2 linked regions of the Struthio camelus genome follow. The protein of the gene in region 2 purifies or fractionates together with the protein of the main gene of each other region. This does not show direct contact. Links are inferred from orthologs where the notes say so. Each region holds a gene or a part of one and is shown on either strand. Other genes may lie near its edges.

Evidence for each region.
Region 1: the proteins of PRPF40A (region 2) and RBM25 purify together in Homo sapiens (affinity purification with mass spectrometry; 5 studies listed by BioGRID and IntAct, with this or other methods). This does not show direct contact. The link is inferred for Struthio camelus from reciprocal best matches to the Homo sapiens genes PRPF40A and RBM25.

Annotation. Positions count from the first base shown.
Region 1 is NC_090946.1:43,480,063-43,496,408, forward strand, and holds the start of RBM25 (RNA-binding protein 25), read right to left. Parts: upstream 8,024-16,346; 5' UTR 7,793-8,023; intron 1,696-7,792; 5' UTR 1,681-1,695; coding exon 1,575-1,680; intron 1-1,574. Other genes in the region: ZFYVE1 (zinc finger FYVE domain-containing protein 1), read left to right, coding at 14,712-15,206. UniProt on the Homo sapiens protein: RNA-binding protein that acts as a regulator of alternative pre-mRNA splicing. Involved in apoptotic cell death through the regulation of the apoptotic factor BCL2L1 isoform expression.
Region 2 is NC_090947.1:44,928,661-44,944,634, forward strand, and holds the start of PRPF40A (pre-mRNA-processing factor 40 homolog A), read right to left. Parts: upstream 8,839-15,974; 5' UTR 8,539-8,838; coding exon 8,176-8,538; intron 6,595-8,175; coding exon 6,457-6,594; intron 3,379-6,456; coding exon 3,298-3,378; intron 935-3,297; coding exon 904-934; intron 170-903; coding exon 147-169; intron 1-146.

The sequences.
Region 1 (16,346 bases), on a different chromosome or scaffold from region 2:
TCAGCCATCTGATTTTTGAAAGCCTTTATTGTCTATGAAACACTTGTGCACAAGATAGCTCAAGACCATGTAGCCAGTAGTTATTTTCTGCTAGTTATTCTAGTTATTTCTACTATTTTTCTTATAGTCTGATGAATTTTATAGGGGTAATTCTTCTCAGTAATTCATCTCTCCCACTCCCTTTGCGGTCTCCTGCCTCTAGTCACTCTTATCTATACTGGCAATGTACAGAAAGGTGGTTGCAGAAAGATAAATTAAAGTCTCAACACAAAAACAAAGGCTGATCTTACTGAAGAACACAGGAAGTAAGAAGGCAGCATTAGTTCTGGGAAGAGTAGAAGGAATAAGCAATGTAATAGTAAGTTCGCAAGACGTGTAGAGTATGGAAAGAATAGAACAAAAGAAAAACGTGAGATTCGAGTGGAGAAAAGTCATTTAAAAAGCAACGAGAGAAATAGAAGGGAAGAAATAAAAATACAGAATTTTGAAGTGGTTTAGCTTTTTAGACTAAATTGGCTTCTGGAATCCAGGCAATAGTAAGTTTTCAATAAACACTACTAATCCATACATAAGCAGCAGAAGATGGAATTCACAGGATGTGATGTGCTACACAATGGAAAAGGATACAGGTATTTCACATGAAGCAAAAGGACAGTAGCTGTATTGTCTCCAGGCCCCACTAATATATAAAACTGTAATAACATTCAGGTAGAACTCTTGAGGGAGGAACATGTTTTGCAGAGTATATTTTGCTTCTTTTAAGATTTTATCCATGTTTGACCGCCCTATTAAACCCAACTACATGCCAAACTTTTCATATTAGAGAACCTGTTTGTTCCTTATGAAGATCGAGATATCTGTTGAGCCTCCAGACAGATTTAAAAAATTTATGCCACAATAAGACTGAAAACTGAATATAGAACCCACAAGCTTCAACAGAACGCTCCATTATGGGGTTAACTCATTCCCCCACATTTATCATGTTTCATGGTATTTAAAGGATCCTAAAACTGTTGCGTGCCTTGCAGGAAGTATCTAACACGAGACAAAGAGCAACAACAAACAAAAATTTGTTTACATGTTTTTAATTCACATTTAAATATGTAAGATTGACTGTACTCAGCTAGTAACTACTGAAGTCGAAGACTCTCTGAAAGTTGCTCCCGTGTTTTCATACCACAAACGCTCAGTGTACCAAGTGTTTGCAAAGACTATAATGGCCTCTTTGAAAGGAACTGAAAAATCAGTTTGCTGTCAAAGCAGTGATACTTAGAATAACAAACATTAGCAAAAATTACTATCTAGCTTCAGTTTTGAAAGAAAGGGCAGACACATAGTGACATATTGTCTCTAGTGGTTTTCATTTCTGGTTACATGTAAGCAACATAGGGTAGGCTAAAGGAGCTTGCTCACATGACAGGTGTTCTATGGGAAAACTAGAAAGTCATTTATAACGTACATGAATTAGCGTTATTGCAATACATTAAGACTGAGTAACTTTTGTTAATAACACAGTTTAGAATAACAAAAGGTAATTTCTTTCTACAACGGCTCCATACACTAACATAACTCACCAGGAGGCACAGGTGGAGGAAAACCAGGAAACTGTGGAGGTGGAATCCCAGGGGGAAGTGTTGGGATGCCCATAGGAGGGCGATTCAAATGAGGTGGAAAAGACATTCCTGGAGTTGCAACCTATCAAAAAGGCAGAAAAAGGAAACGTTGCATTAGTCATTTCCCAAACATGAATTACAAAAGCAGCGTAACTGATAAGCACCTGCAACGATTTTAAATATTTAAATGGACATTCAACTACAAACTGAAACTACTTTAGCTCCTCTTTCCCCAGCTGAGCATTGTTACAGATGTAGTAGATATCTTCATTCACAATGAAAAATAGCACTTCTGGCAAAGTGTTTCAGAATGAACAAAAAACTAGAACTATAACTGACCTCTCATACCAATGTTTCACAAAGAAAGTGAATTAAAAAGTTTGTAGTCAATGAATTTTTACGAAGATAAAGCTTTTTTCCTCCGTATCTGAGAACGGAAGTAATCTTGGAATACATTTTTCAGTAAGCCAAGCAGTTCTCTTGTACAAGAAACAATCCTTTAGATGACCCTGCTTGAGCAGGGGGTTTGGACTAGATGATCTCCACAGGTCCCTTCCAACCTTGGCCATTCTGTGATCGCTCACAAAATAGCTGTGGAACGAAATAATGAGAGAAGAAAGTGGAACATCCTGATGCTAAACATCAATGGGAATTGTATTTAATAGGAAAGACGCTGCAGCAATTCCCAAATTCCAGCCCAGAGACAGTTACAAGCTTGGAGGAGGGCTCTCTGATCTATTTTTAACTTCCCAGTTCCTGTGTCTCCTAGCTCAACTTGTGCAATAGCTAATGAGCTGAGGCCTGATATGCTAACACGGACAGTAAAGAATATTTTATAATTTGCTAATCAGATGGTTATTGTTATGTACATACTACTGCTCATATTTCTTCTCAGACTATGTGCATATTAGCTGATCTTCCTCTAGAATGTGAAGCCTGGGTAGGATACCACCTTGGTATTACTACTTTACATTTTTTCACAAAGAAAACAACCAAGTGCCTTAAAAAAGGGAAAATACAGATCTTATTCCTTTAAGCAGCTCTCAGTCCTTATCTACACTGCAGGCACTGTCCAGGACAACTGGACAAAATTCAATGGAGCTTTGGAACAGGAGGATAGGGCAATAAACTATTGGGCTTGAGTGATTCCAGTAGGCTACAGCAGTGTTACACATATGAGGTCCACAAGGCATTAAAAAGTGATCTGTAAAACAATCAACAGTTTGGAAGTAATTCTCCAGGCTGCCTGTAGGTGCAGCTGGTTCTCTTGCTGTGACAAACACTTCAACTGAGACACCATTTTGGACTGTGTGTGAGTGTAGGGAGCAAGAGGTAAAAAGCTTCTTCAATGAAAAAAATGCTGAAAAATGCCCAACTTAATGGATGTTATATATACACGCAGGCGAATTGTTTTTAGATATATCTTTTTTTAATTGAGATCAAAAGCAAAAGTTTAGCACTCAATAAAGGAATTGTTACTCCCTAAAAGGACAAAGGTAGATAGTAACAGATCAAACAGATCAAATGAAAAAGTCTTTCAATTTTCTAGTCAGAAATATGTGAAATGTACTGCTACCTGTACTGCTACCTTCAACAAGTCAACTTGAAGCACTATATTCTAATTTTTTCCACATTTGTAAGGCTATTTTCACAACAGCTAGAAAGCTGCTCTGGCACTGAAGACCATCAACACTTAAATTAAAGAAAGGCTTAGTCTCTTTCTTGCTACTATGTGTAACTACTAACATGAAACTGGCAAATATGAGAGTTTAACCCTACTTCTGCTATAAAAACAGAGCAGCAACAGGTATCCAGACTGAAATTGTTCACTAGAGAAGCAAAGGATACAAATCAGACAGTGAGAAAGATGCATGCGCTTTCCTGCAGTGGCCAAGAGGAAGGAAAATGCAAGGAAGGAAAGCGAGTAGCACAATTTTTCTGTCAGCAATTAGAGAAGATGCAAGAAAAGTACATACTCTTCCAGCAGTCAGAGCTGCCAGAGCATCTCAAATTTATAAAGCAACTATAAACTAAGGCTTCAGTATGGGAAGTTAAGAGATGCTAAGCTGGGTCCAGGGAGAATACCCTTGTAGATATCTCAGAAACCCTACTGTGAACTTCTCTGCAGACTGTCCTACCCCTCTACTAGTACAGTTCAGTGCTCAGTCTCCAATACATTTTTGTGGTCTCAGTAGTGTACGTGCTGATCTTCAGATTTCCCCAAAATATTCAAGTGTGCAAGTAAGCAACTAAACAATCCTGACATATTTTAAAAACGCATTTGACTTATCAAAGTATTATTTCAAAGTTAGATGTAAGATGCGGCTATCAAGAATGCTGCTTAAATAGCAGCACTTTAAAGGACAGATTCATTTTTGTGAATCTTTAAAGTAGTTAGAAAAATACAACTGTAAGAAAAACACTCAGCATCTAGCATAACACCATTCCAAATACTGAAATAATATGACACCTATACCACTCACAATGATGGATTTATGTCAGGATTCTGACTCAAAGCATAGTCAATTTAGGCCACGTCTACATCAGCAAGCAGGGAAGCACAACAGGAACAGGTCTTTCTAGCAAAACAGACAGAGCTGAGACCCCAATGTCCACACTACATCTTTTGGGGAGGTTTTTATTTCAGGCTTGCTCTAGTCCAGTGCACCAACTGCCCTTTAACAGTTAAGGGTGGATATTTCAGTATATTCAATTCATCCATTGTAACAGTGCAAACCAATGTGAATAAAAGCTGGCTAAGTGGGGCTGACTGGGAGACTTGCTTCAAAAGCATGCTCCCAATCTGAGCTAACACACTAATACAGGTGCACACTTCACTACCCTTGGGCAGCTTTTCTGAGCTGCAGATTAACAAATGCAGGTGGCAAAATATCTAAGATTACTCTAAGCAGAATCAGCTCAAATCCAACTTGAGTTATTAGCTAAGGCAAGTGTGACACAAAAGCGACTACAATAGTCCACGTTCAAAAGCAACTATAATAGTCCACGTTCAACTTGGGCCCAGAAGGAATTCAGTTGCTTCACACACTGCTTTTCTGAGTTAATAGCCCCTGGTGGAACCAAACTGCATGCAGAGCCAGCTGCACCAATCTTCTGAAGCTTGGGAGAGTAGAGAAATACCCATATGGCCGTAAAGTTAGGTAAGGTCCACTGAGACTTATTAATTCTGACTCAATGCTATCCCTACTGGACCTGAGCACTGAGTATTAAAAGTAAGCTAACTCTAACAGAGCCACACGAGCTCACAGGGCTAGCCTGAGGGCAGGCTGGACTGAAGCGTGTGAGACTGTATAAAATTCACTGTATAAGAAATGATGGTTACAGTCATTCACATATTGCTATCCCATGCTTCTATATTATCTCTGGCCCCCAAAAGGGGGTGACCATATGAGAAGCTTGTACTGGCCCTACTGCACTGTTAATGTAATTTTTAAAAAATTGCAATAGCCTTTTAACCTATTTTTGATTTGCTCCCCCCCCTTTTTTTTTTTTAAATGAAGTGACAAAAACAGAATGCAAGTTTATTAGTTAAATATCACTGTTAAGTAATATATTTCAAACTGGCAATTGTATCACCTACTCACAGCAGCCATGTTACTTCTACCAGCGTCAGGTGATTAGACTAACTAGTATCTATAACTGTTTCTACAAACCTCCCCCCCGCCTTTTTAGCAGACCCTTGCAAAACATATGGCAGTTAACTATTCTGAAAATGGTTACAAAATATGAAACAGGCAGTTACAATACTTACTATTGAGCTGCAGTTGCACTAAACAAGGTTAAAATTAACCATGGTAATCTTGCAAGCCTAAATGAGCTTGAGGTGTTTTAAGAATAAACACACAAGGTGTCGTAAGTGACACATTGTGGCTAATCTAGTTTGATTACAGTTTAAGTCTGATTTTAACTTATCGTCAACATTTTTCTAATTCTATCCTTCAGCATGGCAAAAATCTGTACACTTATTCTAGAATAAGCGTAAAATAGATGAACAGCTAGAGCTTTAAATAAGGGAACAGTCAGTGCAAACCATTTTTTGATTTTTTTAAATTAACTAAAAAAACAGCTTTGACTGTAATCCTAACCTCTGAATTATTACAACAGTCCATGACAAAATCTGGAATCCATGACTATTTTAGGTTTGTACACTACGCTATATAATATCACACAGGTTAAAGAAAAATACACACGCATTTGATTTGACTGCCCACGTTTCACTGTGTTCACAAGCGTCCACAGAAAAGCTCCAATGTATATAAATGTTTTAATGCTTTTTGAGAATAAGACTCATTTTTATTATGAATCTTACAAGCTTTTGGCATTTGGTTCTAATGTCTGTATCTATGCAGCATCCCAGAGTGAACAATAATTCTTTCTAAGTTACGCTGAAGCAATTTATACATTTTGCACCATAACAAAACGTCCAGCTGAGCACCAAAAACATTTTAAGAAACCACTGGAGAAAGTGTATGTGATAAATAAGCCTGTTAATGCTATTATGCGGGCTTTTACATCACTCTCTACAAGGTCTATGGATTTGTAAGCCATTTTTAAAGCCATTAAAGCCATATAAAATAACTAAACCTACAGTTTGTCAAAAGAGATACTCCTTGTATTATTGATATAAACAAATGACACTTCTCACAGAAGAAAATAGCACCCTGAGGAAAAGTCTTTTTTTTTCCTTCAGGCCAGCTGATCCTCTCAGTGAAGGCTCTCCAACACCTTCTCATACAACTCTACAGCTTTCATTAAATTCGCCTGCAAGTTACACAAGGCATCAGTGCCAAACACAAAAGCCACATACGGAGATAAAACAGATATACAGACTTGAAGCACACTTACTTCCGATCAAACAAAATTAGCATTTGCTTACACTTGTCAGAGATGGTCCAGAAGTGTTTGCTAACTGCCATCAAGTAAGTTGCCTCCCAAACTATTATTTTGAAGTGTCTAAGAACACTGCATGCTTACTGAAACAAACAGATGTGTCCTTTTGAAAATGCCTTATCTGGCGCTCTACCAAACATGACACCAGAATATTAAAAACTTCACTTTTGCTCCTAATTTTGTGCCCATGTAAAGTGCTAATGAAGTGATTCTCCACCCTAACCTTGCTGCTCATTCATTCTTCTTGAAACACAAACACAGCCGTGGCATCACGACACCTGCGAGAACGGGCACTCAAGAGAGAGAGGTAGAAGAAACGTGAAGGGCTAAGACAACCACCTCATAACAAACCAAGAAACTGGTCTGTGCTTGCTTCTATAACTCTGTTTTGGACTGCCTTCTGTAAATGCAGATGCAGTGTACTGGTACCAATTCTTTCCCGACCCACAAAATAACTAAAAATTTGGGCATACGCATTTTGATCAAAATAGAGGGAAGACTACCCAATTATAAGATTTCCTCACGTGTAAGCCTCGCTATCAAAAAGAAAATTGTGTTCAGGATATTTATTGATGTATATTTAAACCAAACCCCTTCTCCTTCAGGCAGGCAAAGGTCTTTTCTACAGTAGAACGCATCATGAGCAAAATATGCTAATGCACACAACACAACTGTTACAGACAGGGGTGAATCCCTCCGATTGTTTAAGCACAAGCTCCTAACGCATGTTTCAAGAGGCCTCCCCCGGGCCAGACGGAGGACATCACGATACCACCGAAGAACGTTTCCTCACTCGACCGGCGTCGCCGGCACCAAGAAGCCGAAGCCCCCCAGCCCTCGGTGGCGGCCAGCCCCGGGCCCTGGGGCAGTCTCGGGGGCCGACAAACGCTCGGCCACGGGCGCCCCCCCGCCCCGGCCCGCCGGCGGCGGGCTGCTCCCCGCCGCGGCCCCGGCAGCGGGCAGGGCCTGCCGCGCCGCCCGGGCCGGGGCAGGAAGCGGAAGGCCCCCCCGCCGCCCGCCCGCCAGCGCCTCCCCGAGGCCGCGCTGCCTTCCCACCCCCGCGCCGCCTCCCCGCCGCGGCCTAGGCCCAGGCCCGGCCCGGCGACGGGCACGGACGCCTCCCGCCGCCCCGAGGGTGGGGAGCGCGCGGCGGAGCGGCGCTGGCCCGGTTCGGCCCGGCCCGGCCCGGCGCGGCGCGGCGCCTCCTCTCAGCGCCGCCGCCGTCCCTCCCTCCGTCTCCCTTCCCCCTGCAGCCCTCCGCTGCTCACCCTCCTTCGCTGAGGGGTAGGAGCCGCGTCCGGAGCGCCGCCTCGGCCCCTCCTACACGCGCAGGCCGGGGATGGGGCTGGGGAACGGGGGCGCCGCCGCCTCTCGCCGCGCTGGGAGGCCTCGGGGCGCCGCTAGGCCGCGAACACACCGCGCCGAGCCAGAGCCGCCGCGCTGCGCTGGGGTCATGTGAACCACCCCTTCCGTCAGCGGCCCGACCTGCCCCGCGCCGCGCGACCATAGAGGCGCGCGAGCCAGAGCGCCCTCTCGCTCCTCACCCAGACATAACGCGCAGGACCATAGAGTGCCGTGGCTAGAAGGGTAGAAAGAGAGAAAAAAGGCGTTGGGGCCGCCGCCATGTTTGCTGGGGGCAGGTGGTGCGACTCCCCGGCCCGGCCCCGGGGCGCGCCATCTTGAGGTCGAGCGCTGCTGCCGGCGGCTTCCTGGCGCCGCTGGCTGCGGGCCCCGGGGGGCGACGGCTGCCCGCCGCGCCGGTCTTCCCCGGCCGCTGGGGCGCCGCCCGCCGCCGGCCCCGGCCGCTGGGCCGTTCCTGGGCTGCCGCTGGAGCCGCGACAGCAGCGTGCGCCGGCTGCCCCCGCGGGACATCGGCGTGCGGGAAACCTGCCTGCTCCCCTCGCTTGTAACAGGAGGCTAAGGAGGAGGGAACACGTGCTTTAGCTCCGTTATGGTTTAGCAGATTTTAAGGGCCTAGAAAGCTAATAAGCAATCCTATTATCAGTAGATGTGTATTTGCCATGTGGAAGGCTGCATCTCAGCTAGACACTCTGTAAGGATTTATGGATCACAGCAAACACCAGCGTCCAAGGCAAGCAAACCCTCAGCCAAAAGACATCTATATACTCTTTTGTGGTCCTAGCAGTGGTCTACAAATGGTAGTTTCCCTCACTTACTTCCAGCAGCTAGACTGCATTGAAAGACACTTAAAAATGTGCAAGTCTCCCCAGCATTACTTACAGGAAAGTAATTGCTCTGTTCACCACAATGATGGCAAGCAATTGCAAATGGAAAGAGGAAGTGATTGCGAATGGAATGAAGACAGTCTTGCAGACCATTACGAAGCAGAGCACAACACGAGTATGTGTCAACAAAGCTGTTCAAAACATTTTAGATCGGCTAGGGAAAAATGCTTGTTATTTCTGTACTACATTTTCCACTGTTTATGCATGCTGCATTAAAGAAAAATGGTCAAAGACCAAAGGTAATGACAAACAATCCTCTCCACAAGTACCACCACCTGTAAAGACAAGAAACACATTCAAAGCTGACACTGTTGACTACTTGAATATGAGACACAGTTCACTGGATGGACTACTGAACACTTAAAAAGCGAGTTGAAAGTAAGGTTCTGTTCATCACCTTGCTTTGCAAGATGTTTATGTGCAAGATGTTTATGTGCACATTTGAGTAGTAGTAGTTAAAGGAAATATTTCAAGACTGAAAGCAATTTCTTCCACTTTTAGAAACAACATCTTTGTTTCCCATTAATTACAACTCATTCCATACAGCCTCTGACTGCTATTAATCTTTCAAGCAATTGATAAGTATTTATACTATTTAGGTAAATATAGTTCTCATTTTGCAGTTTGCAGGAAAACCAAGGAAAGTAGAAAGGACACACTAAGAATCCTCCAAGTTTCATGTTTCTATGCTATGGTCCTAAATTGAAACTATTATCTACTTGAAAAAGAATGTGAAATCCAATCTCACTCGTATTGCTTTAACAAACCTTTTTATTTACGGGAAAAATCACAAAGGTGTTCTTGATCTAGATGTTCATCTTTTTTATTTAGCCAAAGAAACAAACCATTTTGCATTTACTCTCCTTATACAAACCATACACTTTAGCTTTCAGTATCCTTTCTAACCAAGGAAGAAACTGCATCACAAGAATCCAGTAAAAACTGTTACTTTCACATCTCTGCTCTTTCTGCTATTCAATTTTATAATTAACAGATGGATAGGTTTACGGATAGGTATATTTTTACTCTTTAATTGTGAAACTGAGATCCCACTTTCCAGCTACTGATCACAGTTCACTTTATTCAGCTACTCGCTGTAGGCTTCAGAGTTTGATGCTGAAGCCAATCAAGACTACAGTACATAGCCTTTACAAAAGGCCAAAAATGAGAACAGGCACTTAGTGTCTGCAGACTGTTTTGCATTTCAACTGTGACAAACCATTCCAAACATGCTAGGCAGCATCTCAGGGTGCAAACTTCAGATTGCTTCTATGCAGCATAACATTTTAAATGTTTTATGCCAGGAACTGAACTCTAGTCCACAGCTCCAAAGTAACTGAGCAAAAAGTACCACTACAGCGATAAAGTGCTGGTGTAGGAGCACGGTCTTTTAAAACTGTCACCAATCATCAGGATCCTGGATACATACCACTTACCTGTGCTATCCAATGAAGGTTTCTCTCGCCCTGGCACATCCTATGTTATTTCCATGGAAATCAATAAAATTCATTTTATTGATTGTACAAGAAGCAGCTGGAAGTAATTTTTGTCTTAAAATCAAACTGATGATTATTAACAGCATATAAATTTAAAAGTCAGAGAGATTTAAATGCTACATTTAAATGCTCTAAGTACACAAGTTGTGAACAAGGACATTCATAGGAAGAGGATAAAAAAAACTGAACACATCTGTTTTCTACAGCATTTTGGAACATATTGTGAAAACAATCAAGGGGGAAATGGAGGGAATACATCAGGTCTTCACAGGAGGATCCACATTTTTTCACTTCTCAGATCTACTGGAGGAAGGAATATAGGAGAGCTGCTGCTCAGAGATCTGAAGTGAGGGTGAAGGACTTTTTCAAGAGCACGCTTAGCTGCTCCATTTCACTGTCATGTATTTAAAGGATGGCCTAAAACCTGACTGTGACAGAACACAACTTGGACCCAAGCACAGAGATACATACACTTCCTATTCCAGGAGGACCAGTGCTGCGCTTTTATCTTTCTAAGAGAGAGGCAGGAAACAGTAGGGGCAGAAAGTTTAAGCATTATCCAGAAAGAAATAATTAGCTTAGTAACTAGCACTACTATGTACTTTTTATAGGATACAATATTTTAAATAAAAGTAGCTTTTCATTGTACTTTTGTCAATAATTCCACAAAATGAATAATTACGTTGTGTTGTCTTCCCCATACTTTTTTTTCCCCCTATCACATTACCTGCTTAAATACAGCCACTTAGAGGAATATCTCTTAGAAGCCAAACTCATTGATTTGCTTCCTTGGCTCCCTATGAATAATCTTGTGAGATTTAAAAGCTTCTACCTCCTGTGTAAGGAATATATGCACTATAAAGAAGTTATTCACTCTGAAAACATTTGGCTCAGGAAAGATTCATATTTATAGATTTCAGTCTATTTGATTAATCTTTTGATTAATCTTTTTGATTAATCTTTTCTGCAAAAAAATGAATTAAAATGCCTTATCATAATCGTATGAAACAGAATAGGGAAGAGAATTACTTTGCCACCCTTCAGTCATTCATCATCATTAAACTGCATAGAAATGGATGAACCATATTTATGCCTAGATACAAAAACATACGTCAATGCTTACCACATTTCAATTTCACTCAGACCGCATGTGGATCTGTACACCACGCCTAACCTAGTTAAAACATTTTCCCTCCTCGATACAGGCAAAACTTATGTTCTGCAAGCACAGAATCTAGTAGAATCAAAAGTACTTCAAGCATACACTTGAATTCAGACACGGCCTTGGTCACACACAGTTTCTGAAACTTAGCTGATGCCTCATTTCTGTGGTAATTGGGCCTGCTGACGCAGTTTTCTGAAGTGATGTTACTTCACCTTAGAGAAAGTAAACTAGGTATCGTTGCAATCTATACAGATAACCAATTATGTAAGCTGGTCCTCTCTTGAAATTATTGGTATAGAACCAAACCAAGAGGACGAATTTGCAGAGCACTTTAAAGCTGCCTTTCTATGGATACCAACGTGTAAACTTCACTGAAGTGAAACAGCACATCTCCTTCCTGCAGTGAGGTAATGATACTGTTAAGAGCCTACCGTCTGGCCAAAAGCTCCAGGTATTCTAGAAGACAAACTGTGGGTTATACTACTACAAAAATATTTTTGTATATTATATAAATCACATCCTGCTTCCTTAAACACACATGCAATTAAAAATGACTTGTCCTTTTGTAGTAGCACCCTACCGTTACCAAAGTGAGCCAAGAGCTCACTGGTTCAGATTATTTCCTCTTTTTGTGAGTTCTTGGGTCGTCTCTGCATGCTTCCCCCTCTCCCCAAGTAGTCTGCAACAGCCATCTTCCACTTCCACAGTTTCGGTTTCTGACTGAAGGACAGTTCAGTCACCTGTTCTTTGGCAGTCACCTGTTTCAGATCTGTGGCCTTTCCACTAAATAAACAGTGGCGGGTCACACATTAACTACCTCTACAAAAAAAGAAAAAAGGGGGATATAATAATGAACGGTGGCACTGCTTGGCAGGGCTTCCTTCAAGTGACTGGCTAGTATATACAAGTTTAGTGTCTCAGCATGCCCTCAGAAGGGCAATGTGACCTACTTACTTGCAAGACCTCAAGGCCTGGGAATAACAGTGGACAAAAAAATACAGGCTGCACTCCAAGAAACGTAAGAAAGAGAGAGATTCTCTATGAATTTCATCCCTCAGAGAGCAACTGGGGGCTACTCCCTCTCCTCTGGGACTCCTGCAAAGGGCAGCCAGCCTGCCCACCCCCCCACCCCCAGCCAGAGGCCTCCCGTGCTCCCAGCACCACCGAGAACCCGCGAGCCTCGGGGCAGAAGACAAAAACAAAACAAAGTAAAAAAAAAAAAATTCGGAAGACAGCAAAAAGCCCCCAAACCGCTGTGTCCCCCAGAACCACCCCCCCCCCCCCAAAGCCCTGGCGCTGCCCCTTTAGTCAGCGGGGCCGGCGCCTGAGCGTCCCCTCCCCCACCCCCAGCCGCGCGCCGCCACCAGCCGTTAGCGGCGCGCGCCGCGGCCCCAGCCCGTATAAAACGGCCGCCCGTCACACACAGCGCCCTCCGGTCCGGTCACCCGCCGCTACCGTCGCCCCAGCAACAACGCGCCCGGCCCCGCCGACCCGCCCAACGGCCGTGGGAACTACGCGTCCCAGCAGGCGCCATGGCGGGGCCCCGCGGCGGCCCTCCGTGCGGCCGCGCCGGGCCGGCGGACTACAGTTCCCGGCGTGCCCGGGCCGCTCCGCCCCCGCCCCGCCGCCGCTGCCGCCTTCCCGTCTCCGCGGAGGGGTGTGGGGGGGGAAATAACGCCGAAGTTGCCCGCGGTCAGCTGATCCCGGCTGACAACAAGGGGCGCGGGAGGAGGGCGGCGGCGGCGGCGCGGGTCCTGCCCTGCCGGGGCGCCTCGCCTGCATGGTCGGGGCGCGCCGCCACGGCCCCTGGGGGAGGAGAAGCGGGGCGCCCCCCCTCCCCGGCTGCGCAGGGGAGGAGGAGGAGGAGGAGGAAGAAGCGGCTGGGACCCGACTCCTTAGTCACCGGGTACCGGCGGGAGGAAGGGGAAGAAAGGTGGCCGCTGGGTTGTAAACAATAGCGCGGCTCGCGGCGCCCCGTTTGGGGCCGCCTTTGTTCCCCGGCGCGGCGCGTCCCAGCCCCCGCCACGGCTCCCCGCCCGCTGCCGCTGCTTAGCGGGAGAAACCCGGCGCTTCCCCCCTTTCTGCTCAGCTGCTGCTCGGGATAACGAGGAGCCGCGCTCGGCTTAGCCCGAGGTAGGTGCACGGCGCGCAAGCGAGCCCCCAGCTCCTAGCGGCGTTATGTAACTAACGCAGAATTGCTGAAAAAAGTACCTGCCCGTCATGTTTGTTTGGTTCGTGGTATCAGAAATGACCGAGCCACAAGTGTAAGCGGTGCCTGGGGGCAGCTAGCGCACCCGGCTAGCTGCCCAGCACCAGCAGCTTGAAATAAGCAATTGCTCCCTGCAAGGTGGAAAAATGGCTTATTCTGGAAGGAGACCTCCCCTTCCCCCCCCCCCCCCCCCGCCAAGAGTCAGCCGAAATGAAAGTAGCTCTGTGGGCTTGTGTGTTTGAAAGGAGGGAGGTGAGTGGGCTGTGGGTTGATGTGGGGAAGGTAGGGCGCAGGGCCCCTGCACAACTGCAAAGGAGCATGTCGAGACAAAGACTGCTTGGTGTGCAGCATACTTGGAGCAGTCACTTGTTTCGGAGGCCTATTTTGGCAAGTTGTATCTGACAGAAAAATCCATCTTATGTCAGTGTGGCTGTGGTAATGAATGCTGTTCAGCAATACTAGGAGGAGCATACAAAGATATCTAATTTTGTTTATCTGGCAAAGTACATCAGGAAAGTCCCTGCAAATAAATACTGTGAACTCTGAAGGAGGAGCTTAGCTGTAGATTGAAAGCAGAGAATTTTCTAGTATTGACACAATCCCGTGTGTGTACCTCCATATGCACTTGTGCATTTCTGATGTCTTTTTTTCCTCTGTATTACCAATTAATCTCCTACCACTCTCTGCTTTAGAGAAACATTTGCACCAATCTGCTGAAGTACACCACACTGATTTTTATTTTTTTCCCCCCACATCACTGAAAATACATTATCTAGCTAAGCAGAGAAAGAATGTTTTCCAGCATTTGGGTACATCAATAGATGAAAACAGCCACATTGTTTATTTTGGAGTAAGGAAACTTTGTCTGCACTTAACATTAGACTCTTTCTGGAAGGCCAGTCAGTGTATGAATCTTACAGAAACATGTATTAATTCTTCAGAATTGGGTGGTGACAGAATTCCTTCTGTATTTCTTTTCCCCTGTGAAAATACTAAATTTTCAGCTGACTTATACACATATCGTTGTTCAAAAACCCAAACAGGGAGGAAAAACGTTAAAGAAATCTGAAGATGAGCGCCCACACACAAACTGCAGAGAAAGGACAGAACACAACACTCCTGTGCCAGGAAAGCTACGTTTGCAGTGGGACAGATGAAGCAATCTTTGAGTGTGACGAATGCGGGAGCCTACAGTGTCAGCGGTGTGAAGAAGAGCTGCATCAGCAGGAAAGGTTACGGAACCATGAACGGACCCGTATAAGACCTGGCCATGTTCCTTACTGTGACTCCTGCAAAGGTGCCAATGGGAACATAATGCACACCAGTATGACAGGATCTAGGCAGAGAGCAGCAGTGAGGTGCCAGGTGTGCAAAATCAACCTCTGTGTGGAGTGTCAGAAGAGAACACATGCTGGGGGGAACAAAAGGAAGCATCCCATCACTGTGTACCATGCTGGCAAAGCCCAAGAGCAGGAGGAGGAGGAAATGGATGAGGAGACCAGGAGAAGGAAAATGACAGAGAAAGTTGTCAGTTTCCTCTTAGTGGATGAAACTGAGGAGATTCAGGTAAGAACTACTGTGGTTTATTTGAATGGGCAAGATATCCCTAGCTTCTGTGTTAATCACACCTCATAATAGTCTGTTAGACTAAACTAATAGTGTAACAGACAGCAACAGTAACAAATTGAGGATAGTCTGTTCCTGGCACTGAATGAATATCTTGGGCCAAAAAGACCCTGGTGCCTAGGAATGGCCTTGCTCATGAGATCATCAAAAGGTCAAAACCTTATGTGTGGCAAGAGCCTCCTCTAAGAAGCTTGGTAAGTGGAGCTGGTGAAAGAATTGACTGTACTGAGATGCATGCAATGAAGATAAGCGCTCTCTGTACAGGATGCTGATCATTCCTGAACAAAACTGAACTGAGAGGATTCCAGTAGATATCCTGCAAATGGGAGTGCTGGCAGCCAATCTCTTACCATATGACTAGGAGTGGGCACTGTACCAAGCAGTACTACAGCCCCCTGTTACTCTCCTTTAGCACCAGTAAATCTGTCTGATTTTTAGGAGTGGGATAAAGTAGAAATAGCTGTCCTATAAGGAGTCTTGATGTGTGCCATCCAAGTCCTACAGACCCCACGATTAAGCTATATTGCTAGTCACAGGTATTATTCCAAGTTAGCTTTTTCCTGAATGAGGGGCAGACCGGCCATCAGTTTGGGGTAGGCCTGCCAATAATAATGATAAAAGTACTCATTGGCTACAAACAGCTGCTTAGGAGAAATTATTTTACAGAGGCTAGTGTGCAATACTTGCAGTTACTTAACTCTTCTGTTGGCCTTTATGCTTGGTAAGCATAAGCACTTTACAAAAGGCAAAGAATCCCTGTTTTTATAGATGAGAAGAACAGAAATATAAAAATGCCATGTGTGGAAGTCACAGAGCAGGTTACAGAATCGTTTAGGTTGGAAGGAACCTCTGGAGATCATCTAGTCCAACCTCCCTGCTCAAGCAGGGTCCTCTAGAGCATATTTCCCAGGATCACATCCAGACGGGTTTTGAATACCTCCAGCGAAGGAGACTCCACTGCCTCTCTGGGCAACCTCTTCCAATGCTCTGTCACCCTCACAGTGAAGAAGTTTTTCCTCAGGTTTAGGTGGAACTTTCTGTGGTTCAGGTTAGTAGCACAACTAAAAATTTAACCTCATC
Region 2 (15,974 bases):
CTATTAATTGTAACACTGCTAGTCTAAGGTCTCCATCTCCAGCGCTAGTTAGGTAAATAAGCTCCATAAAAAGAGATGTTAAACACGTAAGCCCAAATATGCACCACACTTCTATTAAAAACTATGAGACTTTGGTTTTCACTTACCTGAGTTCCAGGTGGTGCTACGGCTGAAGAAAAAACAAACAAACAAACTAGTAAGATTCTGGTTGTTTTGTTTGGTTATTTTAAAGTAAAACCTCAAATTACACAGTGTTTGAAAGAAAAAAAGAACGCATAAAGATTTCATAGGAATCAATGAAAACGCCAGTTAGTGGAAGGCTAAATAGGCTATTCCTAGAGGTTAAAAAAGCTGTAATTCCATATGGCGATGGACATTCAACTCAGAACTCTTTGGAAAAAGTATGCAATGTGTCCCTTTCCAGTTCAGATAAGAACAAAGTAAATAAGCCTGGCCTCCATTTTTTAGCACAGTTTATTTCTATGTATGCATTCCATTATTCAAGCAAGCAGGTAAGCTTTTGATTAGCTTATAAAAACAGTACAAGCACAAACTGGAATGTGTCCCTAAATAAGCACTTTTCGAATCTCTACATTCCGAGAAGCTGACAGAGTAACCAACTGGAGCACAGATCCACACTGACAAACCACAGGTACTGACAAGAAATCTTTCATCTTTAACATTTGCACTGTTGTTCTGTAATCTCAGAAGCTAAAAAGCTGTGAATGCCCACCAAAATCCAAGAACTTTATTACATCAGTCTGCTTCCCATGCCTCCATGAATATTGGAAAAAAAAAATTAAAAAAATCTTGCACATAAAACTATAATTAAAAAAATATTTTAAGTACTTTGCCTAATTTTGGTGAAATATTTTGAAATTGCAACAGATTGTTTATACTTACCTACTTGCGCATCCATACTGTTCACTCCTGGCTGTAGAAACAATCAACAGATATTTAATTACAACTGCACTGAACGCTTAAGGCATTAATATAGTACATATCCAAACAAGTCCTTTCAGCAACAAAATTCTCTATGACCTCAAATACGGATTCCTAGTCACCCATCACCCACCTAATTATTACTGCTCCTGAAAGAAATGATTAGGGATATCAAATTTATTTTCAGAAAGACAACACATGCAACAATCTACACTGGAGAGTCTCCTGACATCATTCCAGTATCTCTTTATCTCCTAAATGGGTAGTTCTGGGGCGGTGAGGTGAGGGGGGTGGGGGGCGGCAGGGGAAGCAAGATTCTGAATTTCTGCTGGAGTAGCTTAGTAGAATTCTGTTTTAACTATGTTGCCAAAAGCATACACCTTTGAATGTACTGAGGTGTTCAATCTGTTGCATTCCAAAAACTGCTTGTGAGTAACTAAAGGTCTTACAGACGCTCCTTCTGATAACATTTCAAACAAAGGAAAAAGATCAACATAATTCAAATAGAGTTTTCCTAACATTTTTCTTCAGACAAAAATACAGCTTACAGCTTTATCATCCACTAAGATTTATCTTTCAGTTCTCTATGAACTTTGTTAACAAAAACTGCTCACGTAACAATAAACTAAAAACCTGCTGAAAATAAAAGAAACCATATCACCTCAAATCAATCCAACAGCATTAAGCAGGATGAATCACCACGAAATTTAAGACCCTAAAGCTTATTCTGTGCGTATGCGCATATGCCTGTGCTCATAAATAATCCTTCTAATGTTTCCGTTCTTGTGCCTATGTTTACTTCTTCAAATTCCCTGCTAGTTTGTTGTGCATTGTAAGAGCACTTGTCTGACTGAAGTCATCCTTTCGAGGAACTACGTTAGTTCTAAATCAGTTTTTGGAAGCAAACACTGTTAACATAAATCACAAAACAGATAATGAATCTCATAAACAGTGTTCTGAACGATCAACATACTCACGTGAAAAACAGCAAAGACCAAAGAGCACTGACATCAATATAAATAATCCAACTGGTCTCTGCAAGTTTTAGATCACATTTTACACTTGGAGAAGACAGTGTATTTTTCATCAGCTAGCTATGAAAACGATCAGATAGCTAGAAGTCTGATGAAGTCTCTTGAGCGAACCACGAGGGCTACAAAGCTCACAATTTTTTATTCACCTACAAATTATTTTAGATTAGAAAAGGGCAAAAAACTTTTTCATTCCTAAAACACTTTGCAGGTTGTGGTACACCTTCCATAGCAGGGAGGTGAAAGAATGCTGCCATGACAGATAAATGCCTTCTGATACCACACACACAAGTATCATCTCCAGTTATCGCTACCAAGAGGGGCAAGGGTGAAATTAAAGGTTGGAAACCTCTACTGTGCTACTTTGCCTCCTAAATACCATATACGCGCACACCTGATTCAATCACAGTTTACTCCCAAGACAGATCTGGAAATCAAGAGATCTACCTTCTCTCCAAAATTATGTAAAAATATACAACAAATATTCAGAATTAGTTTGAGTTAACACTGATTACCTTGCCCCTTTTAAAAATCACTTTTGGGCATAGCATTTTAAAGGTTTTTCTCCCAAGGTCTGAAATTCTTTCAAAATTTGCCATGAGTATCACTTGGCAGAACTTCATGCTGATTTCAGTATGGTAGACAAGGGAAATCACTAACGTTCTTCCTACTAGGCAGCTATTAAAACATTTAGTGCATCAGTAAGTAGTACCGTGAGCACAAGAACTAATGAAGCATGGTTCCCATGAATTTGCCTCAGGAATTACTGAACTTCATTTAAATTACACTAAGGCTGTAACATACATTCATGTCCCATTAGACAACAGAGGACAGCAGAGGGAAACATACTTAACAGGCAGATTCTCTAGTGTCTGCCCAAACATTAAACTAAAGACTCTTCCCCACTTTTAAGGTAATTAATATCGTCTGGTATGAAATCTCCATCATCTAGTGCATGTCAAAGTGACATTACATCCTTTTCCTCAACAGTATCTTCTCTACCTATCTTGTAGAAGCTTAGCACGCTTGTGATCTTTCTCTCACAACCGTGGCTGAAATTGGCTAACGGTCTTAAGAGACCACAGGGGTGGGTGGACTGATTAATACAGTATGTCCAGTCACACACAACTTATTTAGTAGAATAATTTAAAAAACTGTTTCAGCAAACTCTTTATCATTTTACAAGAACTGAAAAGCTTGATAAAACTTCAATTAACAAGACCTTTTTCACAACTCAATTCAAGAAAACAGAGACATACCCATACTGAAATAATGAAAGCAACTGAAATGAAGGAATTTTAAAACACAGAAAAGTTAAACTCACCGGAACCGTAGGCTGCATAGCAGCTTGGGACATGTGAGACATCATCATTCCAGGCATTACTGACTGCATCATTCCAGGCATCTATAATTAAACAGTATTTCAAATATACTTATACTTTATGATACTTTTAACATCTAATATTTTGGTTTCAAAATAATCACACAGTGCTAGTTTCTAACCCAAATAAACCTTCTAAGCGCTTGGCAACACACAGTTAAAGTTGTAGAATTCTGCTTCCTTTCATTACACTCCTACAGAGTGGACATTAGGAATAATAAGGCTATAGTATATTCCAAGGTCTGATATGAAATATTAGTAAAGACAACCACTTAATTACAAAAGAACAATGACAAACGACGAGCGATCTGTTTATACGCTCTTATTGAAATTGAAATCTTATGTTAAAACAGGAAAATTAAAGGCTGTGGGAAAGACTTCTGCAGAATTCCAAGGTCACACAGAAGCTATTAAACAAAGAAAAGGTAAACTCTGAGTCTATGATTAGTTTTGTTTGCAACTTTTGGCAACTCTCAGCCTGTCTCCCCTTCCTCTCACCTCTGCAAATAGGAAGCAACATTTTACAGGGATACTAGAAGAGTGAGTTTCTGCAAACATTTTCATGATGAAGACAGCTATCGTACTTAAATATCAAAGCTCTAAATCGCTTCTGAACAGTTTTTTACAATGTATCAAAAAAAACATTAATGCAGATATGCAGTATTAAACCATGCGACTTCTCTTAAAACAACATGAATTTGGTAACAGGGACATACCAGAGCATACAAAATGAAAAGTCTGAGTCTAGACTTATAGCAGAGTTTGTTGTGTGGTCTGATGAGACAAAAACCCCACAAAACTGCTACTTCGACTAGCTAGCTTTTGCTCAAATATTTATGCTTCTACTCTTAAAGGGATGGTTACTGCAACACATTATACACAGGAGTTACCCACTGGAAAGAAAAACTGATGCACTGAAAAGCTGTTTAAAACGTTACTGAAAAGGTTGTAATATTTTGTGCATCTCCCATAATTTTTGCTGATCCTGGCTTTTAAGAACTGGTGAGCCATAAAAAAAAAAAAGGGGGCAAAAATCAACAAAACATAGTTTAGGTCACTACCAATATGATTTCTTGCCCACTCAGCCCAAGTAGGTCTTGAGAAGTCAACCCCCTTCAACCTTTCAGTTATCCCCCTTTACCTTTTACTGTCCTTGGCAGGCTGGCCAAGTGACCCCATCCCCCTGTATCTTCAGGGAGCATCAGGTTACCACTCTCCTCATCTGGCATCTTGTGCGGAGAGAGGGATATTTGGTAGGGCTACCGCTCCACCCTCAATCCACAAGGTTTTCTTGGGAGGGTGAGGAAGAAAGGAAAGACTGGAAGGCGGCCCCTCCTACTCCTTGCCATCCTGTAGAAGCAGGAGAAGAAAGCACTCTTGCCCCACTGCTACTTGCAACTAAAGGGGGCTCTGAGTGTGAAACTTTTTAAAAGTCCTGACCCAGGTCCTGAAGAAACTCCATGTACTTCTCCGGGTTGCCAAGGAACACTGACCCAAAGTCCACAAAGAAAAAAACATGGGAAGAGACACAATTCTCTTTCGTGAGACCTTCCTCTGAACGATGCTGACAGTAGGCCGTTACTCTTGCTTAAGGTCCTGTGTAAAGGAGTTTCTTGTCTATAGAGGTTCACCTCAGCAAGGAGGTAAACAAGCTACAGGAATAGCCCATCTCTGCTAAGTGTCACAAATAAATCTCTGGTATCTGCTGCAAGAAAAAGCTTAGCATCCAAGCAAACAAGGCAACACCGGCCGATGCTCTTGCACTGGAACTACTACTGCGCTGAAAGTATCAGCCTCTTGTCCTCTCCTTATGGCCACAGGGACACTGAGCCTCTAATCTCCTCTTGCCATGCCACGTATCTAGCTTTTCATTCTGTATCTACCAAAAATGTTTAAGTTCTCTATTTATATTGTTCCCTAAAATATTAAGACTGAAATATTCATTACATGAGAATAAGATCAATAGAATTAAAAACTAGAAAAAAAATTGTTAAGCAGAGGAATAAAATAGAATTGCTGGACATATTTAATACACATACACAAAAGCTCACATGATTAGCTGTCATGATAATGGTTGACTCCTCCTTATCTTTTTAAATTGCATTATTCTTAGAGCAGAAGATCTAACAGACTGCAAAACCACGCTGGAGGCTCCTATCAAGTCTGAATACACTAGCTTTAAAACTTAAATTACACATGCTCTATCCAAGGTACTGCAAAGGAAGAAAATGAGTTGCCAGCTACGCACTTGTGGGCGCTTCTCAAAGGTTCAGTCTTTCGTGCTATCCTCTGACTAGTCTGCTCTAATCTATCCCTCTGGTGCGGTCACTGTCACTCCACCTCTACTTCGGCAAACCACTACCTTACTAGTATCAGTGGAGGATTTTTTCTATCCAGGAAGAGAATTGCTTCTTTCAGAAATTCAAAATTTAATGAGAAACTACATGGAAAAGGACCTTTCCTTGTTTAAAATTAAAACTTCAAATTTGCAAAAGCATGGATATGAGCCTGGCTACTCCTCCTGTCAATTCACTTTCAAATGTGCTCTGAATAGCTAAGTTTGTTTTTCAAACTGTGCATTACACTAGCACCACTAGTATATTATACAGAACTATAAATGCTCCCTAGGATGCAAGAAGCAATTCTGCAAAAATTCAGATCTTGTTTCTTCCCTGCGTCTCCCTACAATTGTCTTCCATGCTTGGATGTAAGAGTTAGCCAAGAACTAAAGAGAGAAAAAGTTCTCTACCATTACCACTTCCGAAAAGAATCGCTACTTTCTGTTTCTAGTACTTTTTAATAGGACAACCTTACTTCTTCAAAACCTATGGGAAACTGTCTAAAAGGTTTATTAAAAATAAACTATGGATTCACATATATGACAATTTAAAATTAAAGTTCCAAAACTAGGAAGCACTTTCATTATCCACTAAAATGAGAAGAGTTTCTGCATGGATAGGCATGGCTGCATAAAACAACCTGAATTGTTCACGTTATCATTTGCAAGCTACTATATGAGACTTACCTACCTCAGGAATTATCTGGCCTCATTACAGGAAGAAAGAAAGAAAGAAAGAAAAAAATCCAGTAAAACTGCCTTACCTGCCCCATTGGTGGTCCTCCCATCGGAGGCATCATCTGAGGCATCATACCATGCGGAACTGGTGGCATATTAGGTGGTCTTTGACCCATGGGGTGCATTCCCATGGGCGGATAATGTGGCATGCCTGGGTGGCCCATCTGAAAGACATCAACAAACAAAAAAATTAGCACAAAGCCAACAACTCCCTGCCCCCCAAAACACAAAACATTAAGAATAAAGACACACTTGACGCGCCACTGGAAATGAGGTAGTCAATTTTAGCTTAACACTGCAAGACAGCGAGCAAGACAATTATATTAAAATGCTTACAAATCAATTCTGATGTTAAGCATACTGTAGAAGAATACTCTTCTGGGATCTGTAGAGCTGGAGATCATCAGAATTAACAAATATATTTAAAAATTCAAAAACAATAGCCAAATAAAAAAAGAAAATATCCATCTTTCATGTTATAATTTGTCATAGAATCACATACTAAATTTGTGTGTGCAACTATTTCTGCATGCTCTTCTATACAACTATGATTAACACAAGTACCCCTGGAGCAGAGAAGTCAATCAGATGACCAGCCTATCTTTTGCTTCTCTCATGTCTAAGGCTGAAGTAGCTTCTACGCTGACTACAAACTCTGTCTCTGTATTTTCCTAAAAATCTGAATCCTGTGGTTGTCCTTATACTTGGTATAGTCACAGTAAGAGGATTAAAAAAGCTAGCATACGTCAAAAGTCTGTTCTGTAAACACACAAAAACATAGAAGACATCTTATTTCATATTCGGAGACTTGTTAGTTACCAGAACGTAGTAAAAGCCTTCTATTCCAGTCAGAAGCATCAGCTTTAAGAGTGCCTTAGGATAAAGGCTCAAAGGCACTTTATTTTGAAAGACAAATAATTCAGCTCTGCATCTTACTTGTGTCTTTCATATCTATTAGCTCAATGTGAAAGTTACTTTTAAACAAAATGTACTTTTTTGAGAAGGATACTGAGCAGGAAAAAAAAGCAAGTAATACCTTTTTTCATGCTTTAAAAACAATCTTCCATTGAAATTTTTGGGGGGTACCCAAAGGCATGCCTATTAATAGCCTGTGAGGTTGGGGCAGACCGCCCAGAGAAGTTATGGACTCTCCTTCCCTGGAAACATTCAGAAACTGTCTGGATGCGATCCTGTGCAACGTGCTCTCAGTGACCGTGCTTGAGCAGGGGGGTTGGACTAGATGATCTGCAGAGGTTCCTGCCAACCTCAACCCTTCTGCGATTACTGAAAAGCCACAAACTGAACAGGTTTGAAACTTAAAGAGTTTACCTATATATACACACGCGTATACACGCCTTGAACGTCATGGGGGACATAATCCTAACTGATTTACTAAGTCTCAGATGCTCTCCAAAGAACCAGAAGTACAACGCTTCCTCAAATCCTTCTCGCGCCCTCTGAAGACCGCTATACATACAGGCGTTTTTAAACCTTCCCGAGGGACCTGCCAACCAAATGCCATTTAACGCGCCCCAGCTCTCCTCTGCTGACCAGCGCAGCACAGGGCTCTCGGGGGGGGGGGGGGGGGCGGCCCCGGCCCACTCCCGCTTCCTTCGCGGTTTCAGGCTGCGTCGCAGGTGCTGTGCCCAGCCCCGGGCGCTGCCAGCGCGCCCCGCTCGCACAACCAAGGGCCCCCGGCCCGGCCCCGGCCGCCCCCCCCCGGAAGCGCCGCCGCCCGCACTCACCATGAGGGAGCCCCGGTCGACGCCGCCGGGCCGCATCGAGGGGCTGAGCAGGCTACCCCCGCTGCACCTGCCAAGAAGCCGCCCTCTGAGTGGCTGCCGCGACGAGGGGCCAAAGGGCATGAGCGGCTCGGGCTCCCCGCGGGGCGGGAGCAGCGGCGCCAGCAGGCTGACTGGCTTCCCCGCTGGCCAATCCGGGCGGCCCGCCAGCCGGGTGCTCTTCGGCGATTGGTCCGCGGTGGCGGCGACGGGGCGGACGGCGTCCCCCGGCGTCAGCTGCATGAGGGGAGGGGGCTTCGGCAAGGAGAACGGGAGCGGCTGAGGGGAGGCCGCCGCCGCCGCCGCCGCCGAGTCCCCACCTGACATCCCGGCCGCGACGAGCCTCTTCTCTGCCTCTCCCGGCGTCGGCGCCCGGAGCCGTTAGCGACCGCCGGCCGCAGGCGGCGAGGACCGAGCGGATGGAGAGAGGCCCCGCGCCGGGGTGGGGGAGGAAGAGCCGAAGAGAGAACGGCGGCGCGGCGAGGCCTCGCCTAGGCGGGCGGGCGGCGGCGAGCAGAAGAGCCTCCGGGCGGGAGCGGGAGCAGGCCGCGGCGGCGGCGGGCCAGGCCGGGCCGGGCGGGGGGGCGCGCGAGCCGCCGAGCCACGGAGCTCGCGCGGGGGGACGGCGGAGGGGACGCTGGGAAAGGGTCACGTGGGCGAGGGGGCGGGGCGGCCGGCGCCACATCCGCCGGAGGAGGGGGAGGAGGAGGAGGAGGGGGGGATGCGCGCTTGCCGCTCTCCTCGCCGCCTGCTTGGAGAAGCCGGAAAGTGTCGGCTGCTCCACCCCGCGCGTTGCGGCGGGTGGTACGTGCCGGCCGGCAGGCCCAACTTCGCTGCGTCCCCCCCTGCGCTGCGGTGGTACGTCCCGCGCGCGCGGTGTGCGCTGTGAGTGCTGCGGGAGGGCGGGGCCGCTTGTCTCCCCCCGCGTCTCGTGCGCGGTGGTAGCCGCCGCCTGAGGGGGATCGGCCCGCGCTTCGCGCCCTCGCCCGCCCGCGGCGCCGACATGGCCGCGGCGCTGCCCGGGGCCGGTGCCACCGCCGCCCCGCGGGCCGAGCCGGGCCCAGCCCGGGAAGCGGCCTCCGCTGCTCTCTGCCGTTCAACTAACGCTGCGTGCTTGCGTTTCCCTCAGGTTTGCGGTCGGGGCAGGCGGAGAGCGGAGCTGGGTGGCAGCTGGGCCCTGCCTGGGTACGGCTGCTGCCGCCTGCGTGCCCCTCCTCCTTGCCCGAAGGGGCCTTCCGCCTCGCCCCGCTGACCTCGGGGTGGCAGCGGGCGGTACCGCTGCCGTCGGAAATAGCGCCCGAGGCGGTGAAAGGGCTGAAAACGCTTCAGGTCTTCCACCTTCCTCCAGAGCTGTGGAGGCTTTGTCCCCCTTCGGAGCCCTGTTCGGCTGCCTCGCGTGCGGCCCGAGAGGCCCCAAAGGCCGAGGTGTAATAACGCCAAATCCTTCCACGTGCTCTGTGCCGCGCTTAATCCACGTTTTAGGAATAGCAACTTTTCAAAAATATCTTCATAAAAAAAGCTTATTTTTTGGTTTAGATACTATAAACGGGGTTTGGTAGGACTTCGTTCCAACCAACAGACTGTGGTAGGCATCGATTTCACTTTTCCCACCCCTTGTCATCCGTCTTGTACCCTTGCTCCTATTTCAGACCGGCTTGTGCTTACTAATTAAGTCCTGCGGCATAAGTTATCCTCTTCTGTCTGCCTCTTCAATAACCTGTGGCCAGATTCAGTGCCAGAAGAGATGAGGAAAAAGAAAGCCAGGGGAGGAGAGCTGGAATTGATTCAGGGTTAAAACTCACTATAAATATAACCGAAGTTAAGTGTAAATTGTAACCATTGGCTTTAATAATATTTTAAATCCATATGAACCTCTGTTTTTTTTGCATGCAATAGTAATAGATTTTTCTAAGAGTATATATTTCTACTGAAGGCTTTTTGATGTGGAGGAAGGAGTTAACTGCATCTAGATAGAAATTGTGGTAGTATGTCTAAACACTGTCTTTTAATCTATTTTATATATTTAAAGGCAGTACCAACTTAATGTTCAGGTTCCCAGTGTCTGTAATGTGTAAATGTGGGTGAACACAACTTTCCTTTGTCTTGCTTTTTTGGAGTTTCTTGAAATAAATCGCAAGTATGGCCCTTGAGGTGTAATACGGTGTTTTGTTTTATTTTTTTGACTCCACAAATGAGTGTGGTAGCTTTTCAGTGGGGGAGCATCTGCCACAGGTGTCCTAATCCTGACGCAGAATAAGTCTGTTTAACAGCAGTCTTAACTTCCGTGTGATGATCAGCAGGATTTGTGGAAGATGTGATCTTACAAAGTTAATATCCACGTGACCTAACAGCAGGATCGTCCTATTATAGTGAGATAACTGTGATGGAACTTGGAATTTGGTGAGAAAAGCCAAGATTTGCTAAGATTGACATTAACTTTTACTATGACCGAGGAGAAATTAAAAAGCAAGAATAATAATGCGGAAAGATTGAGTTTTTCTTTTGTAACATAACACTTTTGCTTTAATACTTTTTTTAATGTGTTGAAGTTTTGTACGGCTGTCACCCTGTGATGAAACAGGGCAGCTTGTGGTCGAGGAGTTAAAATTTGATTTTTAGCATACTGAACAGCCTAGATGTATTTTTAAGATTAGAATCTTTGCCTAATGGCTTGCCATGTCATACTGTTATGATTTAAGACTTGATTCTCTGGCTTGAGTATATAATCAAATATGTAATTCTATGTTTTAGTCAATTCTACTTCAGTTAACTACTTGGTAAATTTGAAGTGATTGTTTTCGAAAACTGCTTATATCTTGCAAATTCTCCAGTTTATACTTTCCTAGCCAGGATTCTGCATAAACAGGGTGCTGGTGAGGTATATGTGAAGCCCTGTGGTGCGTGGCTCATATCCAATTGCAAGCGCACACTGCTCAGCAAAAGACATTATGTGATATTCATCCCATGAAGGAATCATCACTATCTGAAATCCTGGATCTTGGGGATGAAATTACCAATACTGTTCACCTACGTTTTCAGTATAATTCAGTGATGAATAAAAGGCTCCCCCCTTTATCAGGAAAGCATTGAAAATCTGGCTTAATTATTCATAACTAGTATTCTCTTTAAAAATGTAGTCAGAGCATTAAGGTATGCCGGTGGGGACAGCCACACGGGAAGGCACGCTGCTTCTGCTGTGGGGCTGATTGGACTGTTATCCGGCTGAAGCAGCTGTTGCCATTGTTGCTATCAAAAGACAGGAAACCGTCTTGGCTTTTGACAGAGGAAGCTCTGGTATATTAATGTCCTATTGACTTCAATCAAGAAAAGAGAACCAGTAACATCTAGTTTTGTTAATACTTGTGTTTCAAGAATAAGTTCCTGGGTGAATCCTCTGTTATCTAGGGCAGGTTGAACTCATGCTGCACTCTCAGTGAAGGTAGTGAGTGAGGGTTCTGGAGCACTTTCATGAAAATTACAGGAATTCATTATAAAAAGCCACCACTTTATCGTGCTCAAAACTTACGTTGATAAATTTAGATATGCATACAATATGCTAGAGACAATGGAAGTGATTGAGTGTTTTGCTAAAAATGAACCTGTCCATTATCTCTTTGAAAAATCTTGCAACGATTCAACAGTTTGTTTGGACAGAACCAGCTACGATACTGCTGTTTGCAGTGTTCTCGTTATGAAACTCTGAAGTGTATGTGGACAGTTCTCTTTATCTGCTATTGCACTGATGTATTCACCAGACAGCTTGATTAGTAAGCTACTGGTAAGTGTTCTCAGGAGACTCCAGCCCTGTTGATTTGAGTTGTCCATGTAGGCTGCTAGAACAGCTGAAGGCTCTTAAAATGGTATTACCAAGTTTTTTTTTTTGTTGTTGTTTTGTTCAAGTAGTGGAAGGGGCTAATGCTGACCTTTGCTGTTGTGGTAGTAACTGCGTTGTGTAAAAAAAAAAGTAGGTAAGCTGGGGAGGAGAGAAGAAAAAAAGGGAACATATATGTTTATGTCTGATAGTTTTGAATGCTAAAATGAATCTAATCATATTTGTCAATTCACCAGCATGACATTCTGGTGGAGAAAAAATTGTCCTGCTAATAATTAGCTTACTGATATATGAAGTATTATAGTAAGATATTATTTATTTCTGGTTTAAGATGTTCCTGTCCAAAGTTCTCCTGCCATATTCTCTGCTGGAGGTTTCTTCAGTTTTGTTCAGTCCAGGTGGCTGGCTGTGCTGTAACTGGAGGGAAGGATAGAGGGGAATGCTACTGGGTTTTTTTCTGGTAGGTTGTTTCTTGGGCTTACCAGGCAGAGTGAGCAACTAGGATTGCTACTTTGTTCTGGGAAAACGGACCATTTATGTTGCATTGTGGAGCTGTGCTGTATGACGGTGCCTTTGAATTAGTATTAAAATACGTATGTCAAATTCTCTTTGCTTCTTCCAAAAGATTTTGTAGTGTGCTTGTTGTAGCCTCGTTGGCAGAATTCTTGTGCTGTGTTTTTTCTTGGACCAGGATGTATTTTGATTTCTTTGAACCAGGAGTGTTTCTGCCCACTCCGCTGCTACCTGGTTCAAGTAAGTATTTATTCAGAATTCAGCGATTGATTTGGTGCTGTATCTCTTCGGTCCATAAGAGATAACTGTTGCATTATGAAAAGTGCTTTCTGTTGATCTATTTGTGACCTTAAGTGATCTGAAAGAGTAAAAAACTGGTTACAGAACTTGTATATAAATGTAATTAATTAAATAATAAATTAATTTAAAAAGTTTCTGTAACATAAACTCAAGGAGGATAATGAGAATCTAGTTAGAGTTGGAAAAACTCATTCTCTTTTCTTGACACTGTGTATTGTGTTAAGCAAAGAGAGAAGGACTTCTTTTCTCACTGAAATACTTTTCAGTTAGATAATGTACCGTTTAAAGAAAAAGTTAAAATTCACAGTTATAAGTCAAAAGCTTCTAGAAATGCCTTTTGTAGAAACAAAAGAAATAAAAAAACAACCCACACAGTAACTACCCCCTTAGGTAGTTTGTCAGAATGATACCATGTTATGATTCTTTGATTTCCATCTGTAGTATTTAAATATTTTAAATGCGGAGTGTATTTTCTGTAATTCCAAAAATTATAACATATTTTTCCTTCATTTGAATTTCGCTGCATATCATATGTTACAGTTTTTTGCTGCGTGTAGATAATAGATATTCAGAAAATGTGGATTTTATTTTTCAGTCTGTATCGTATTATCTGATTTCCCCCCCCCCCCCATTATTATCAAATACAGTTAATGTTCTACTTTGTGGAGGCTGTATTGGTAATGTTGGTACAGCACTGAAGGTAATAAGAGGCAGGGTATAGTAGCACCTAGCTCAAACCAACCTGTCATGGCTTCTTTCAAGTTCAGGGACAGCCTAAGTCCAGGTCTTCAGCAGAAGAAATAAAGGTATTCTGATGAGGAATTTATACAGTATATGATTTGATGTATTTTCTAATGTTGTCTGTTGAATCAGGTGCCATTCTTCAGTACTAGAGAAGAAAGCCAATTTTATCACATCTGTAGATGTTGCTTCTCAAATACTTAAGATTTGCTACAAACCGCATAAAGTAGAGCAAACTGCTGTAGTTGTATTAAAATAGGACAGCTACTGCTTTTGCTCTTTCCAGCCCCATACCATTCCTCTGACCAGTTCAACTTCAGGGCAGAGATGTTGATCCATTCGTGAATTACCTCCCCAATCACTAGTTTACAAACTTTATATGTAAATTGTAAACTGAAATGTAAATTTCTTCCTATCCAAACAGGATCTACTCGACTCTCACAAGAATAGAAAGAGTCTCATTCCAAGTTTGAAAGAAGATACTTTGTGTATTCATAACTGTCTAATACCAGGCTTTCCTATCTTATTTTGTTTAGGCTTTGTAATTTATGATGGATTTGGATGCCAGTACGATCAATTGTAGCAGCAGCAGTTTCTGACTTCTTGGGCACAACTTCCCAAAGACATCAAAAAGATGTCCTTCCCCTGTTGTGCCTGCACTTTGTCCTCGTACTGCATGTTTTTGCCTCCTCAAACTATGACCCTGTCCCTGTATCTACTGCACACATTCATCCACTGACATTTTCCTCTTCCCTGCCTCTCAGATATAGACTTGAACGTTAGTGGTATGAAAACCACAGTTTACCACAGGAAGTCCTAACCTAGAGGCATTTCAAAATACAAGTTGTACCAAACATGCAGTGATATGATTGACTTTGCATTTCTGTTTGGGAAGTTTGAATCTGCCTGAATGCTTTTGATTTTGCACGTAACAAGTGTAGCTTCCAAAGAGTATTTTAAGTTACTCAGTTTGCTTTCTACAGTGTCTGATTTTTTTTTTTTTTGTTGGACATGTTATTGTAAGCAACAATGAAATGAGTGATTCCAGTCTGGACTTAAAATGTTCAGTGTTTATGATTAGAGTGGACTGGATGCATTCCAAAACTCAGTGAGTCTTAAGCACATGTGAAAATAAAATTTAAAAACTGTTTTCAATATTCTGGTTTGAGACAGGACTGATTACCTTTGGGTAGTGCTGTTTCAAAGAAATCAGATAGTCTTTTGTAGTCTGACCAGCAGGGTGAGTGCTTGTACGCAAAATACATTTCCAAGACTGAGAAGCTAAAAGAATATGTCTGTGAAGCTTCCACTGTGTTTATCTTGGGATTCGGTAACTAAACTAGGAGCAGTTAGTTAACGAAAATAAAGTATTTCTTTTTTTTTTTTTTTAATTTTAGAATGCCATTTAGATTTCGGTACTGTTTAATATGCCCTGGCAAAATATTTGTAAATATTGTCATACTAAGCAAAGAGCAAGCTGATCTAAAAGAGAGCGTTGCTGTAGCAACTGTGTCCTTAGTTTCAGGATAGATGAAAACTATTGGTTTCTAATACCTTGAGAAATACCTTGAGAAATCTCTCTGAACACTGCAAGAAATGAGGGAAATCATATATTATATGAAGCTAGTTACATTACATTTTTGTTTTGCTGGTGCGTCTGAATGATTACTTCAAGACTGATGTGCTTTAGGTTACACTGTAGTTTTTTCCGTTAGGACTTACTAACTTATTTAAGAATTGAGTGGCTTTTGTTTATTTGTAAAGTAGAGTTAACAGTCTTTGACACTGTGAAAATCTTTTTCTTGCAAGTAGTCCCATGGATATCAGATACATTCCAATCAGGTATATTCAGCACATAACCTTAGTCCTGTTTGTCAAGAAACGTAGGGGAGCTATTTCTCCCTGTTCCAAAATTATTCTCTGCAGCTGACTTCTTCCTCTGAACGTTGCCTATGTTTCACTCTTTATTCTATGAAAAATGTCTTGAAATGTTCCAGTAGTGTATTTTTACACTGAGTGGGACTCAGCAAAGTGGTAAATGTGAGACTGGGTGGGTGAATGTGGGACTTCTTCACATTTTGTTTTTCAGAGCAATCCTTGTGAAAATTTGATCCAAGTAACTAATTGCTGATTTTTATAAAGCTAATAAGGCGTGTAATGCTGAATAAATGCGCATCCTACTTTTTAATTTCCATATGCTTGTTTTAGTTCATAAAAATCATGCAGTCACACATAGGACAGTAATGCCTGTTGCTTGATCCTGTTGCTGTATATTTAATTACTTTTTTATTTTAAGATTGGAGTCTGTGCTATTGGTTTAAAACTATATCTTGAAGTCAAGAGAGGATTAAAGTTTAAAAACCCTCAAGAGAGAAAT